Mytilus edulis: one gene and its partner. The protein of the gene in region 2 interacts with the protein of the main gene of each other region in a pairwise test. Links are inferred from orthologs where the notes say so. Each region holds a gene or a part of one and is shown on either strand. Other genes may lie near its edges.

What was found. The genes of interacting proteins can lie anywhere in the genome.
Region 1: the proteins of EF-hand domain-containing family member C2-like (region 2) and enhancer of mRNA-decapping protein 3-like interact in binary tests that used the Homo sapiens proteins (3 or more experiments, as listed by UniProt). The link is inferred for Mytilus edulis from reciprocal best matches to the Homo sapiens genes EFHC2 and EDC3.

Annotation. Positions count from the first base shown.
Region 1 is NC_092347.1:25,327,206-25,335,644, forward strand, and holds the start of enhancer of mRNA-decapping protein 3-like, read right to left. Parts: upstream 3,013-8,439; 5' UTR 2,912-3,012; coding exon 2,765-2,911; intron 1,760-2,764; coding exon 1,590-1,759; intron 1-1,589. UniProt on the Homo sapiens protein: Binds single-stranded RNA. Involved in the process of mRNA degradation and in the positive regulation of mRNA decapping. May play a role in spermiogenesis and oogenesis.
Region 2 is NC_092346.1:46,850,767-46,858,961, forward strand, and holds the start of EF-hand domain-containing family member C2-like, read right to left. Parts: upstream 3,303-8,195; 5' UTR 3,001-3,302; coding exon 2,959-3,000; intron 1,313-2,958; coding exon 973-1,312; intron 757-972; coding exon 533-756; intron 119-532; coding exon 1-118. UniProt on the Homo sapiens protein: Microtubule inner protein (MIP) part of the dynein-decorated doublet microtubules (DMTs) in cilia axoneme, which is required for motile cilia beating.

The sequences.
Region 1 (8,439 bases), on a different chromosome or scaffold from region 2:
TAAAACTTCCAATTTACGTTTCTAAAAATAGACAAATCAATTATAACTGACCTTGAAATGTCTTTTGCGCAAATAATTTTGCGGAACGAAACCTGTGTTGAAAACCTATTACAAAAATAAGTTCCTTTCCCTTATTTGTCATCAGTCCGTAAGATGCATCATCTCAGAGAAATAGACTTGTCCAAATGTTGACAGGTGGAATAACATCAATTAAAGTACTGAATATTAACAAATCATTTGAAATTTTCTTGTTTCATATTATCAATCATTGGGATAAAAACCGGATTGCATGACAACTGATTAACCCGATATTGTCGTTTTTCCAGTGGACGAGTCTATTACGTTTTTCGACACGTGTGTTGAAACTTATTTTTGTACGACGTTTTTACATTTTTTTTTCTTTATCAGTTTTTGTAACTGAAGATCATTATTTACCAAGTTTTCTGGAATTGATTGAGAGCTACGGGAATCTGTTTTTCTTGTTTGTGAAATGACGATTTAATTTCGTCTTTGTCCGTGCAACCCCTCTTTTTTACAGGAAGTTATTACACGATGTCCTGCGATGTTCATGATCACTGATCAATAATATTTCATAGAACGAAATGTTAAGAAATGATTACAAAACAGCAAAAAGACAAACATTTTGTTAAGTAAGGTGAAATATATATTTATTTTGCATATTTTTCTGTTTTGAAAGATATTTTTTTTTCTTTTTCTTTCCGACCGACCGACCCGACTTTTTTATGAGAAAAATCTGTAAACCAACAAATTAAAAAACCGTGGCCTTAAATATGAAAAAATCTCAGAAAGAGGCAACATTTTGTCAGGTTTTGCACTCTTTTCCACTGATAACCTACCATCAAAGTTTCTTCTAGTGTGAAGGATATCATGTTTCAGACAGAAATCCATACCCCTTGAGAAATGCTTTCAAGGAAACCTCATACTCCCTATTAAACCAAAAACAGAATTGTTCAAAAAATCTGTTATGTATTCTGGACCATTCTTGTGGAATAATTTGCCAATTACGTTAAGAAATATTTCTTTCAAATACAAAATAACAGATCATTTATTGAAATCAATCTAGCTGTATCAATAATATTGAAAACTGTCATCATGTTTATTTTTTCATCACATTTTATCAAGTTGTATTGAAGATTATTATCATACTTGACTTTTTATACTACTGTATGCATTGTATATGTTTTTGCATTTTGTTTGATTTCTCATGATGAGGGCCTCAGGGAAGATTAGTTATATAGCTACATGTAACTGTGTAACCCTCTTAAAATAAAGTATTGTTCATCAATTTGCCTTATAAACATGATAAATGTACTTTCTTTTAGAATATTTTCTTTAAACACTTTAATAAAAAGTCATATAAGCTTCAAATTTCAACACAGTTCTGTCAAATATGTTTATTTGTAAATCTTTTTTGAATTTGCAAAATTTCATGATTCAGATTAAGCATGTTAATTTGTTAAAACATTACAATGCAGATGAGTTAAAACATTAAATAATATCATGATTAATGACAAAATTGAAAACCTGGTTAATTTTGCCTCCAGTATTTCTATTTTATATATTCTTACCTGATTGTAATGCCTTGTACATCACACTTTACACCATTTCTGTAGGCCTGAGTGATTGAAACCATCTGTGTTGATTCATCAATCTTAGACACCAGACCTTGGTAAGTACCCAGGGTCTCACCACAGTCCAAAGACACTATACTTCCAACAAAACCAGTACACATTTTAACCTGTGAAAAAATAAAATGCAAAATGGATCATGGTGATTATAATGAATATTGTGACTTTCTATTGTTTTCATTCAGTATCAGAAGTGAGTCTTGTATAGAGCATGTTATTAACATCCAACTGTTCTTGACATATTATCATCCTGAAATGCTGAATTGTTGCAGTGACAGGAAAACTTGTATTACCTGGTAGTACACAAATAACAGAGCTCTGGATCAAGCAAATTACTCATTACATGCAGTTTACTTTGTAGAAATCACAAGTGTACATAGACATGATACATTAAATTTTTTGTAGATGTTAATTTTTCAAGGCTCAAAGAATTTAAGACAAAATGCAAGCATTGTTAACCAACAAGGATGTCTAACTCATGATGGGGATTTGACTATACTCAAACGCCAAGTGCAGATTTTCTCCTAGGAGCATTTTGCTCAAATTATGTATTTTTCTTTCTGTGCTTTTCAGATGCACAGGAGATGAAAAGCACAGGAGAGGTTTGTCTACAATTGTACAAAGTAAATTTTTGAGGTGTGAAGACAACCATATTTGTCAGTTCTTTTAATACACTGAAACTTAATTACATAAATTAAGTACATAAATAAAACATATTTTTGTAAAAATTCGACATAAAATAAATGTTTGGCCTTGGTTAACGTCTTTAGTGTATAATAACAGTAACAATAACACATATTGTAACGGTTCTGTAACAGGAACACAACTTTTCTGTGATATTAGAACATATTGATTCTGTACAATCAATCTCAAAGTATTTCTATTGATTAACATGTAATAAGAAAACACAAAAAATATCATTATCTTGCTATTTACGATGATGACCACAAATCAAATCAGCTGTAGAAATTTGTAAACAAAGGACCCAAACAAACGAAACTAGGTCACAGTCAGTTGCGAACTTTACCTTTTAATTTTGTATTTGAAAAGCTAAATTATATTTCCACAATAGTTACATATGATGTCCTTTTTGCTATCAAGTGTGTTTATCTTACCTTTAGTGTCGCCTCTTCACTATTTACGTTGTTTTTCAAAGAATATTTCACAACTTTCCACTGTTTTTCAACATGTCTTCCAAAACCGCATACAACATTGAAAACGAAGGATATTGTTTTTTTTTTTTGAAGTACAACAAATATCATTAAAAAATCAGTACCATCTTAATAATAAAAATAGTTAACAGTCAAATTCGAAAAGGTTATAAGAAAAAAAATGGTTGTAACTATCATGAAAATATTTGTTTTAAACGACCTTGAGTGATACAAGCGACTTAAGTATGCTGACAGATGTCAGGTCGTCTGTTGTATTTTGTCCTGTATCATTGTAGGATAGGACCTCTGGTGACGACCTTTTTCTAAAATCTTCGTTATCTCTTTTTCACAAGAAATATTCAGATATCAATTTTTTTTTAAACACTATAGTATACTTCATGTTTTAGTGTCATCTTTATAGTTTATGTTGCTAAAGAAGTTAAGTTACTTGCATACTTGTAAATGACATAAAATGTTATATAATAATGTAATTAAGTCCATCAAATTACTATATTTTTTTATATATATATTCAGATGCCTCTAGCGGGTGCTAAAAGGTGACTATAGGGTGTTCATGTCCATTAATAATGAATGCATGTACTTTTAGTACTTTTTTTCTTTATATTTACGTGCAAATTGTTTTTGCAATTTTCATTTCATGTGTTTTTGTCAAATAACACTGAAAACTAAATAAAAAATGAGATACATGAATCCCTAAAAAGGGGGCTGCATCTTGCAAGTCACTCACAGTGAAAGCAATTTGATGTGAAGTCTGAAGACAAGTTTTTGTTTTTGAAATTTCCTACATTGTACATGAGGCATTTGCCTAGATGTAATTACGACCCTGTTATAAAAGAGAGGTAAATGTTCCCGAGACAATATACCTCAAGTTAAATGAAACCCATTTTCAGACATTTCAAGTAAAATTAATATTTATTAATTGTATTACACAGTGGCGGATGCCCCCCCCCCCCTTTTGATCAGCCACTGTTACCTGTATTAAAAGATTTGTGAAGTTTTTCCTGAAAAAATCAGGGTCCTCAGATTTGCAAATTAAATGTTATCATTAATGATCACTAAATTAAATGGGTTACACTTTGTTTATATGAACAATACCCAGGAAGGTTAACACTAACATCAAACTAACAACTACTTCTATGTCAGATGTCTATGAAATAATCATAACATGTTGTGATTAATATGAACATATGATACTGTGAATTACAGTACACATAACTTATGTCGCACACAAAGCCTTCTCCATTCAATATGAATACAAAGATATGTTGAGACATCAAACTAACAACAAAATTAACAAGAGACATATAGAGGACCACATAGACTCTTAACAATAGACAAGTGTCTATACAATCTGCCTAGTTTTGTCCATGTAGGATAAACAATCAATTTCAACTTGTACTAAAGCTGAAAAAAAATGTGAAAAATTATGCAGAAAATTATGCAGTAACAATCAAAAAGATCTGCAATTTATACCTACTTTTCCACATTACATAAAGCATAATACAAGATGTGACATACAACAACTGTTAAGGGTCGGGTGGCCTGATCAAGATAATTAACACCAAAATTTGAAGAAATTAAAAATAAAAAATAAAAATTTGGAGCATGAAAACCAAACAACAGAGTATTTTAGTTTTAGTATTACTTTAATTAGTTCAACAATTTGTTTCTATTTCAGGAAATAATGACAGGGTTTAACTTATATGAAAACAAAAGTAAAAGAAACTGGAAACAGTTTAAAGGGAGACAAAGAATGTTCAAACTACAGCTTTCAGGTACTAGAATATTCTAAATGATAAAAATACCAAAGGACAATCGTTCGCTTGAATTTCAAATGTAACATAACTTCTAAATGTGTGAAACTTGGTTCTTCAATGAATCTATCAGTTATAACACAAATACTGTATAATGAATTTATTATGTGATGTTCCAAAAAGAATTTTATAAAACAAATTTTAAACAAATATTTTTGATATAACTATCAATACCAATTAACAAACTTCTTTAAGGTGGACTGAGCAAACAGTTCTTAATAATTTCTAATACTATTCCTTGAATATTTTTAACAGGGCAAGGGTGTGTCTGTCCAGAAGTTGGTTGCATGTAATTTTGAAAGTCTATTTCTCTGATTACTGTTCAACCATAACAGTACGCTTGTGTAGTAGAACATTATCCACCAAATAGTCACCTTGACCTGCAATTCATTCTTCAATATAAAAATAAAGGACATGTGTTTTAACTGCCAATCAGACTACAATCCTCCAACAGAGTTCCAAATAAAGTGGATGTAAGCAATAATAGTTAACCATACAACCTTCAACTATGAGAAAAACCCATACTGAATAGTCGGCTATAAAAGGCATAGCATGATAAAGATAGAACAATTCAAAATAGAAAAATAACAGCCTGCATGATTTATAGCAATACTATTGAAAAAAAAATAATAAAAAAATATATATAGAAAATTTAAGTAAAAATAAATAATCTTGAAACAAAGAAAGATGGAAATTTGATAATAGAAATATATGACATACTAGTATCAAAATATTTATTATAGAAAACTATATAATTTTGTAAATATACCCTTTATGTTAAATTCTTAATAGATAATAATTTTGAAAACATATACCAGGCATGGGCCAGAAAGTAAACATCAGTATGAAGAATAAAAATCTGACTTTTAAAATGGTGGCCTTTTTCTTAGCTACAGACTGGTAGAATGTGGAATGTAACCCTTTAAAATATTTGTCAATTTTTTACCTATTTACTCTACTGGTAGGAAATAAATTTAAAATCTTGATAACATCTTGAAAAACACTGAACAGTTACAAATATTGCTTTATTTGTGGACATAAAAAATGAAGGAAATGTATTCTCTGACAAAATGTCAATAGAGATTATCCTCTCAGAGGTTATCTCCCCCTAGTTGATTATGTATCATGGTAGATGTTATTCCCCTTCATCTAATCCTTCCATGCCACCTAAGATACTTATGTATGATCAAGTTCATCTGTCTGGAGGTTATCTCCCCTTAGTTGATTCTGGATCATAGTAGATGTTATTCCTTATTGATAGAATTTTAGTAGGTTTTTCTTTAAGAATGGGATTTTGAATAAATGAGCTTATTCACCTGCTGAAAAAGGAAATTCACCGCGCAAAACGTCACAAGCTTTGACGTGCATAACTTTGGTAAAAAACATTTGATGTATAATTGGTTTTTGGTAAATAATTGCTATTACATAAATTTCTCTCTGAAGATGAAATAAAACAATTATTGTCCTTTGTTTGAGTAAATATGTGGTTTAATTGATTTAAAAATAAAAAAGATATTCACTTCGGCCATTGGCCTCAGTGAATATCAGTTTTTCAAAAGTCGCTAAACTACTATTTACCTCATCAATAGACAGTGATTGTATATCATTCAAAACCATGCCACCTAAGAAACATATGTATGATAGAGGTTATCTGGTCCGAGTACACAGTTATCGTCCTTTGATTTTCGTTGTCCACGAATATAGTCCTTAGTGTGGACAGTGTGTTACTTGCCAATTTTTGTTATACCCCTTCCAAATTTATTTCTCCATGTTTTATGCCTCATATAGCAAGTTGGGGGGTGAAATGACACTGTAAAAAAATTTGGGTCATAAAATATTAATGTAAAGTAGTGATTAGGTCCAGCTGAAAAAGGTCAAAAATTAGCTCTTCAGAAGCTGTCAAAAGATTTCAAGACCCCCTTAACATAAAATTGTCCATATTTTGAGTTAGAGCTGATGAAGTTTTCTATAATTTTGATATAATTTGCCCCAAAAGTAGTACAACACACTGTGAAAATATTATTGAGAAAGAGCAGGTGGGATTTTTTTAATTTTCATTTATTGTCTAAAAGAAATGCACTACGAAATAACTGTGTACTCGGACCATCTGTCCAGAGGTTATCTCCCCCTAGTTGATCCTGTATCATAGTAGATGTTATTCCCCTCCATGCCAACTAAGATTCATATGTATGATAGAGGTTTTCAGTCCAGAGGTTATCTCCCCTAGTTGATTCTGTGTCATAGTAGATGGTATTCCCCTCCATGCTACCTAAGATACATATGTATGATAGAGGTTATATGCCTAGAGGTTATCTCCCCCTAGTTAATTCTGTATCAAGGTAGATGTTATTCCCCTCCACACCACCTAAGATACATATGTATGGTAGAGGTTTTCAGTCCAGAGGTTATCTCCCCCTATCCTAAGATACATATGTATGACAGGAATCAAGCAAACAAACTTGTCACTGATACCTTGATAAACCTTTTAATTAAATGCTTTACTCTCAGTAGAAATGGAATTTTAACATAAATGTATTTCATATATACAAAGGATTTTATCAGCAGTCAAGAATATAAATGATTTAATCTGTCTTCTAAACGTAGATAAATCAATAAAGAAAAATGAGACTTAGCACCTGAGATTGTATGAAGGAAAATAACAAGCATTAAGATCTGATTAGCAAAAATTCCAAAGACTTCCATGCTGTCAAATAATCAATCACTTACCGTCTACAGTCTAATGATTGTTAATCTTTGAAATGACAGAAGCAACGGTATTTATATTTTAAAACAAAACAATACCAAGAGGCTCCTTTTGATTTTTAATTCATGAAACAACATTATTTTGATGCCCTTTCTATAAAGATAGTAGGGGAGCATTAACTTTTCCAGTATGAGGTTTTATAGTATGTGTGTCTCTCCACCCCTGATGAATTATACGGCCAATACTTTAATACAAAGAAATACTACTGATAAGTAATTTAAAATTAAAATCCTTTTTATGGGTAGATAAGATTTTAGATATTTTTTCACTAGCCCTATGACTTATTTGAATAGTAAAATATTTGTTGAATGCTTGTCAGTCAGAAAATTAACTAGGTAACAACTCAAGTAAATTAATGACTGTACTTGACTTCTACATGTACCCTTGCCAGAATTAGTATTAGTAAAATTCAGATATATTATATTTGTTTTATGGTTTTTATTACATTTTGTTTGTTGAAAAAGAAATCCCTATGAAAGTAATCTTCTGTTTAAAGCATAATAATATGATGGATAACCAGATGCATTATAAGCACAGCTTGAATGTGTTACACCCCTCCGTGCTCCTCTCTAATCCTTTAGTCTAACCTCACTCTCAATAATAGACACATAAAATTGAAAAAAGTATATACAAAACACCATTTAAGACTGACATTTCATTTACTGGTTTGAAGAAAGAGTTAATAATGTTGATAGACGGAAGCACAGACGGACAGACACCATCAATATGATACTCCCTTCATTGCAAGTGTGGGTTTGAGAGTAACTTAATTATATTATGGGACTAGCTTATAGACTTTTGTACTTATTTGAATGACTTAAATATCTTAAATTTTTTTTTATAAATGATGATTTTTTTTTATATCTGAAGCATATGTTTAGATGTCAAAATACATGTTTATATTTTTTTGTAATTTTGATGAAAATTGTGATGGAATATTTAATTGGCAGTTTGTAAAAGATAGAAATTAGTTATATTATTAAGTTTGTTACTTTTAAAGGGGCACTAGCTGTCAAATTCATTGTAACCGATTTGACTCA
Region 2 (8,195 bases):
TGGAATCGGTGTCGTCCCAATAACAGAAGAAACGTAGAACCTGTCTATCATGGTCAAGGAATTGTTTGAGAGTGTCATGTTTCTCGTATGGTCTTAGAGCTTGCATGCTTTCATCCATCTGTAATAAAAAAAAAATATTGTTTTATCAAGGTGGTCAATTATAATTGTTAGATCATGATTAATAATAAAACACAGCTTAAAAATGTTAACCTTAAAAAGCCAGTAATGAAACCCTTTAAATCTAGTTTAATATAACATAAATAACTTAAAACACACATGTCTTCCTAGCTATAGTACATGTAAGGGCCTTAAAAAAAATAACAGCAAAAAACAGTATAAACAATTGAAAATAACGGTCCGTAAATTTGTTACGTACTAAGGGGTTTCTGGAATTACCTGAACCAGGATTCCTCATACACTTGTATCGTTAAAAAAGTGAAATTTTATCAAGGATGTGTAACTACATGTATATAAACACATAAAAAGGAATATGATAAAAAAGAGTAAATATCTTCATGTGGTATAAACTTACAGATTTTCTGTACTTTGTGTATGGATCTGCTGGATTTTCATCTGGAACATTCACTTTTACACCAAGTTTTCTCAGGAAATTCCTTGAAAATTCATCACAATTCGTGATTTTGAATACTTTAGAATAGAGGCTAATTTCTTTTCCTACGTTAAAGTCCTCTATGGTGTAGAATTCATCATCATTTGGTGGTGGTTTGGGTACCCTGTGTCTTCGGATGAGTGTTCCTTTGAAAATAAGTAACATACATTATGGTTTGAACTTTGAGCACTAAAAATTCACACTGTTGAATTAGAACTTTTTTTTAATTATTGTACATGTGAAGCTGAAAATGTTTTATTTTGTATGTTTACCTCCTTCTCTCTTTAAGATTTTTCTCTGGTCTTGAAATATTATCTAAGAAATAAATAAAAACAAACAGCCTTTTTTTATATTTTGTTTACCTTGTGGAATTTGACTGTTCTTTGTTCTTGGTTCAATGACCTGGATAGAATCATCTTCAAGGTAGAAGTAAATTTTACAGTTTCTGACTCTGAATTGTTCTTCACGCTTCTCATGCACAGCTTCTTGGAAAAAAGCATCAAAGCACATGACCTGTCTATCAAATGCTACCCAGGCTGGTAAATTGGAACCATTTCCTCTTGGGAACACACTGCTCCTTGGTTTGACCTTTTGTCCCCTAAGGAGTTCACCACCAATTCCTGGCCTCTCCTCCCCAACCATCATAGTCACATCATTTTTAGTATCAAAGTGATGGGACAAGTGGTATTTTGTTTTACCAAGCTGAAAAATTCAAAAACTTCTATCAAACTCTTTAATTAATTGAAAAATTATGCAAGTCATCGATAAAACTGGAAGAATCAAAGTGCAATAGCCATGTTTGAATCTTAGCCTACAGCCATAAATGAGATAACAGGTTATTAATCTAAACAAAATTTCAACAGTTAAAGAATCAGCGTTGAGATAAAAGGTCAATGCTGAGACTACAACACTTTTTTTATTTTTTACAATGGCTTGTCACTTTACAGAAAATGACAAGCATATAGTTTGCCATTTTAAAATGCCCAATTTTTATAAATGATGACATACTTATGGGTTTTGTTTATTAGAAAAAAGTTTAAAATTAGAAAAAAAATCATTTTATCATGTTTGAAATATAATAATGAAATTATGTATTATGAAGCTACATTTTGTAGTTACATGCAATACATGTACGATGTATGATGTATAATTTGTCATCGTATATAATTGTTATTGTTAGTTTTTGCATGCGAAAAGCTCTAAAAATTCGGCTGTCACTGTTCATGCTGCTTCTCTGTAAGTTTTTAATCCTAAATGGTATATCTAATAAATAAATCATAAACAAGAATGCAGTTAACATTTTTTTCTATGTCTGATCTGAAAGAAATCAAGAAATTATTACACAAATCATTAATGTTAAAAAATAGCGTTTTCATGCTAAGTGCTGCTGAAATATATATATTTATATTTGTGAACATTCCATTTTCTAATCATCTAGTCTCACTTTACCCTTACCAATACATCCATCATCTTTTGTCTATGCTTTATATCCTGAATGGAATCAGTTTAAAATATAAATGTATAAAACATAAAACAAAATGTTTAGACATTAGAACCAAGGCGTCCCAGAAAAAAATATTAAAATAGCCTTGCAAGATGTTATAATTATTTGGACTAGCTTTGTTCTAAATTGGGTTTTAGGAATAGTTACATTCAGGGTAAGTTTAGTATATCTTTTTATTACTTGGGACTGGAAGTAAATATATAATGGGACATGCATTTTCACAAAAAATTTAGATTTGGCAAAGCAAACACCTTCACGACACAATGTCATATGATAAAGATTTTTTCTCAAACGTCTCTTGTTCGTCCAGGGCAGCTCATTAAAAAAATGAAATTTGAAAGTCGTCTATTGGCACATACATGTAGATGTACACGACATGTATACAGTAATCTATGAATCTGAGTATAATCAGCATACATGTACATGTAAATATAATTTTTAAACAAATGTTATTTATATTACTATGACAGCTTAACATAAGCATCATGACATCTTAAATGTACAGAAAATATTTGAATTTGAAAGTTGTATATGCAGGTTGAGGTGTTCAGCCAATGAACTTCAGCACCCCAAATCTTAATTGTTGAGACACCTCTTGCTGTCTTGACTCTTGTCAGTCTTGACGATGCTACCTCATAATTTTCTGGTTCAAAACGATTACACATCAAATGCATATGTTTATTTCTAATGATCACATAGGTGAACATATCAAAACAACTTAAGTGAGAAAACAACTAGTTTTATGACATGTGTATATGTATGAACAGATGATGTACAGAAATGCAGCCTTTCAAATCTACAATAATTGTATTTCTTAGACGATAAGTCAATATTAGTCACTTACATTTTTGTTAAAAGAATTTCCTGGAAGAAATGGCAGTGCCATGTTGTCAGTTTACCGTCTGAAGTCTAAGTTGTAAACTGTTTATTCCCCCACTACAACACTTGCAACCAACACAGACCGATGTTAGTTTATCTGTTGTCAAGGAGGCAAATTAATGCGCGTTCATAGAAACAGTAATATATATGTATGATTTTATTGAAAATGAGAAATTGTTTAACATAAACAAAAAAAATAATTAATGTGTTGTTGATAATTCTTAATCTACAAGAAATTTGAATAAAAACGGCATCAAATTATAAAAACGGTAAAGTGGTCGACAGGAAATTATTACACACAAGGGGGAATAACTCAAATCAACAAAAGCGACTGCGTTACTGTCGACTGTTATCGTGTTTTGCTGATAGCTAGTGCATTATATTAACATCTTTTCATAATTCTACATTCTACGTTGGCTTCTACGTTGATCTGTCTAACTTGACCAATACTCAAATGATAATTTTAAGTCGTTATTAAGTTTTTTGTATTCTGGTTGGAAAAAAGTGAACATTGTATAGGATGGCAGAGGTTTTTCTTCTTGATCTATTGTTATATTGTTTTTCCGAATTTTGAACAATGCTTTTTTTCCCTAAAATTACCGGTAAATTAAGATCCGGTGCCGCGGTCTTATAAAACGAGGGTTCATTTTTTTTTTAATTAAGAAACACATTTCCTCATCTCAATTTAAGAATGATTTATAGTGACTAAAGAAATAGAACTGAGGAACAGAGATACATCAGTTTTATTGCATTTTTGCGAGTTCAAAACCGGTAATTTACCATGAAATTTGCGTAAATTATGCAATTTAATTGGTATATTGTCTTCGATGAATCACTGATAATTGGGACAAATTTTTTCATTAATTAGATATCTATAAAGCACTGATTAATGTGACATATTAATGTTTGATTTGATATAAATAGAGAATTGATTTCAAAGTAAAATATTCATACAGGATCCATATCTTTTTCATATATCTTTCTTTAATAAAAATAAGAATAATAAAATATAATTCATCTTTGGTACCTTGTTCACACTGGGATTACTACAGAATAAATTTACAAACTGAGATCGAAAGTTACAAACATACATGGAGGAAATGTAAAAGTGTGGTTCAATCCAACCCTTATAACCAGTCTTTTACAAAAAATGCCGCATAATTTTATATATGTAGAACAGCAAGTGAAGAAACTGGCAATCGAGATTATTTTGAAGACGTTTACTCCTGACCAAAATCTTCTTGGTTTAAGGACGGATCGGTCAATTATTAAGAAAGAAACATAAACTTCGTCAGTAGCACAAAGACAGGATCAATCGCGGCATTACTCACACACATTAAACAACTGCAATTTTTTAAACCTGGAAGAACAAAAAATGACGACGATAGAGGTTATGGACTAAAACTTGTCTTTTGAGGTTTATTCAGTTTCAATCAATCGAACAAACCTTTAGATTATTGAAAATGAGGGACCGTTGTCTATATATACACATAGTCTAACATTGTTTCATCGAATAAGTCTAAATGGAATTCTAGCAAAATGTAGCTGGCCGATACGATATAATAATTAAAGATAGGAAATAATTAATTGCATATCATTCAATGTACTCGAAGAAGAGGCTGACGTTGGACCACCATGAATACAGATCGACAATAACGAAAGCCGAAGACAACGAGACAACATGGTTCAGCAAATTTTAGTCATGAAGTCTAAATACAACACAAACAGTGCAGATACTGTTCATTTGTCGTTGTTCTGTATACACTTTTTCTTTCTTTAAAGTAATAACGCGTTTTTGTATGTGTGAAGTAATTTTTCTTTCTTAAAAGTAGATTTGCCTTTTTTCTCTCTGAGCCATGATGTTGAATTTTCTGTTCAGGCAGTATGGGATAAAGGGGATAAAAAAAAGCACAGTTGATCGCTGCAACATGTACATCGAAAATATCAATTGATAAAAAAAATCAGAGGTAAATTTTCTATGCATTAATAATCTGCAGCCTCTACAAATGATTGACTTTTAAATGAATGACGAGATATGATTGGTCCAATTTTTCAACGACCCTTACAACAATGACACCATTCAAAATTGTACTAGTTAATTCGTTTGAAGAGGCTTCACATTATTCATGGTGAACCTGAATTTAACAAGTTTAATAGAAATTTAAAAGATCGTAAAAAGGTATTATACCAGTAAGATCCAGTAAAATAGGAGATAGGAGGATTGCTACATCGACAATCCTACATTTTTTAAAGCAATTGACATCGGTTAACTTTGAAAGGACATAACCCTACTATAACGAGTCTTCGAATCTCTTCAGAATTTGCGAATTTTGTGTTGTCGTTTCTTTGCTGAAACAGTTGAGATAATCTGATAATGTAAGAGAGGCAAAACTGGTGATTCTACTATTATACTTCTGATGAATAAAATCATTGAATATTATTTTCTTGCTTAAGATATTTATCAACCTCATTTGAATGTGACCCACCGAATTAGACTTAACACGTCGGTAGCCACTTGCAGAGCTGCGATCACCACGGTTTTTTCGGTCCTACTAAAAAGCGCCTGTGAGCGCCCGGGTGACGAAAAAGCGCCAGGGAACAAAAAAAAAGCGCCCGGGGAAGAAAAATAGCGCCGGGGAAGGGAAAAAAGCGCCCGGGAGAATAAAATAATTTTATAACAACAATTGTTTTCCTGAATAAAAAAAAAACCATTGCTTGTTTAGATGGGGATATGAACGATGCTTCATCTAAAGTGTGTATAGCTAGTGTTGTATAGTCACTGTTTTACATTATAGATTTCAAAATTTTATATAGGTAAGTAAGTAAATATAAACAATAGTATATGGGTCATTTTCAAAAAATGTCGAATTTTGAAATTGAAAAAATTATTAAAAGTTACTTATTCAAGCAACCCTCTACATAAGCAAATCAAAACAAACAGTACTTTAAGAACAACATATTAAAAGATGCAATCTTAATGATGTCATAAAAGAATATGTTGAAACATTTTTTGATCGGTGGTACATTATTTTGTCTATCCTGTTACCATTTTCAAAAGAAATTTTGGGTTATTAAGAAAAGGTTTAGATAAAATGTTAAGCTTGTTTTACGTAGTCAATTAGATGGTTTTAAAGAGAATACTTCTATATATATTCATTCTGTAATATAATAGATTATTTGCCAATTTTCCAGGTTGTACTGAAAAATGCCTCTAAAAAATGGTTTTCAAAGGTAATAAAAATTACCACCAGTAATGCAAGTCTAAGATATGCGTTTACTTTTCTACATTGGTTAGAGGTATAGGGGGAGGGTTGAGTTCTCACAAACATGTTTAACCCCGCCGCATTTTTGCGCCTGTCCCAAGTCAGGAGCCTCTGGCCTTTGTTAGTCTTGTATTATTTTAATTTTAGTTTCTTGTGTACAATTTGGAAATTAGTATGGCGTTCATTATCACTGGACTAGTATATATTTGTTTAGGGGCCAGCTGAAGGACGCCTCCAGGTGCGGGAATTTCTCGCTACATTGAAGACCTGTTGGTGACCCTCTGCTGTTGTTTTTTATTTGGTCGGGTTGTTGTCTCTTTGACGCATTCCCCATTTCCATTCTCAATTTTAAGATAGCAATTTATATTGTTCGGCATTTTTTCACCCTTTCAAATAAACCCAACATCAAGTTAATCCCTCATAAGTTAGTTTACTTTTCTCTTTATTTCGATGGTAACAGGAACGTACGTTTCTGATATATCACTTTACAAAAGTCTATCCTGTTACCTTTTTGTCTATCCTGTTACCGATAACAGTATTGCACTTGCGAATGCTTAATTGGGAATATTAAGACGTTATAACCTTAAGATGAGTTCAAACAACGAAATATTTCATTCGTTTTGCACCTATATATTAAGATAAAAAAATTAACGACGTTTTTGTCTACAATTGTCTATCCTGTTACTGTAACCATAGCAACCATAGTAACAGGATAGACAAATTTCTTTGTTTTTGTTTGCTGTTGTGAAATAATTACTCCCTTTGGTGAAGTGATTTATGTTTTTCCATTGTGAATTTGGTTTCCAGCACGTTATTGCACTTTTTACAAGTATACTGTTGGTGTAATTAATCAAAATTGGTGGTAACAGCATAGACATGAAAAAAAGTACGCTCTATTTTTTTCACTTAATGTCTTGAAATTTCTTTTCTCTACAATTTCGTTCAAGAAACGAGGCGTTTTAAATGTAAAGATTACTTTGCACTTTTGAGATCAACACTGACTGATTCAATATTCATAGGGAGAATAATTTAACGGCTGGTTTAAGTAGCGGTAACAGGAAAGACATGAACCTCCTGTACGCTGATTCAATTTAATTTGTAGATAATATGTTACATACAATGATAAAGAAGCTACGATTTTTCGTTAGAGTAATATTTAACGATCTTAAAAAGTCCCTTTTGCAGATATCAAGGCGATCAGAAAATCGCAAAAAAATCATTTCAAATGTGTTTTTCTGACAATGTACGCAGACAAATACCCCCAAAATTGGTCTTAAATGCAGTTTAATCTTATCAAAATAGATGTAAGGTGTGTTTATTATTAATGTTCTGAATCACAAATCCGACAAGCTTTCATTTAAACCATTACAACTGAAATTTCCATTAGAAATGAAAAAATTAGCATGGGTGTACTGAAAATTCGACATTTTTTGAAAATGACCCATATAGAAAAATCATGAACGATATTGTCCCCGATCAAAACGTATATTTCGATATTTAACGATAATCAGTGGCGGAGGTCTAATATTCGCAACTGTTTTAATAACGGTACATGTATAATACTGCTGTAATAACTACATACTCGTGGCAAATATAAACAACACAAACATAATCTTAGTTTGCCGACAGCCCGTCATGCTCGATGGACGCCAGATTGTATTATAAATATTTACAAATATTAATATCATCATTAATACCATTACAATGCATATTCAAACATCATACAATTCAAATGTACATATTATCCTAAATACACCAAAACCAAACTTCCGACTAAATGCACCCCTTCATAGACGGTCAAGGCCGGCCAGGAACAACTAGAGATAAAACGATATAATCGACCAAAATTCTCAAGTGCGCAATCCCGTCTCCAGGGTCAGGTGCTCTGACCTACACCTCAAACATGTGTGTACTGGCAAATTGAATGCAGAAAAAAAAT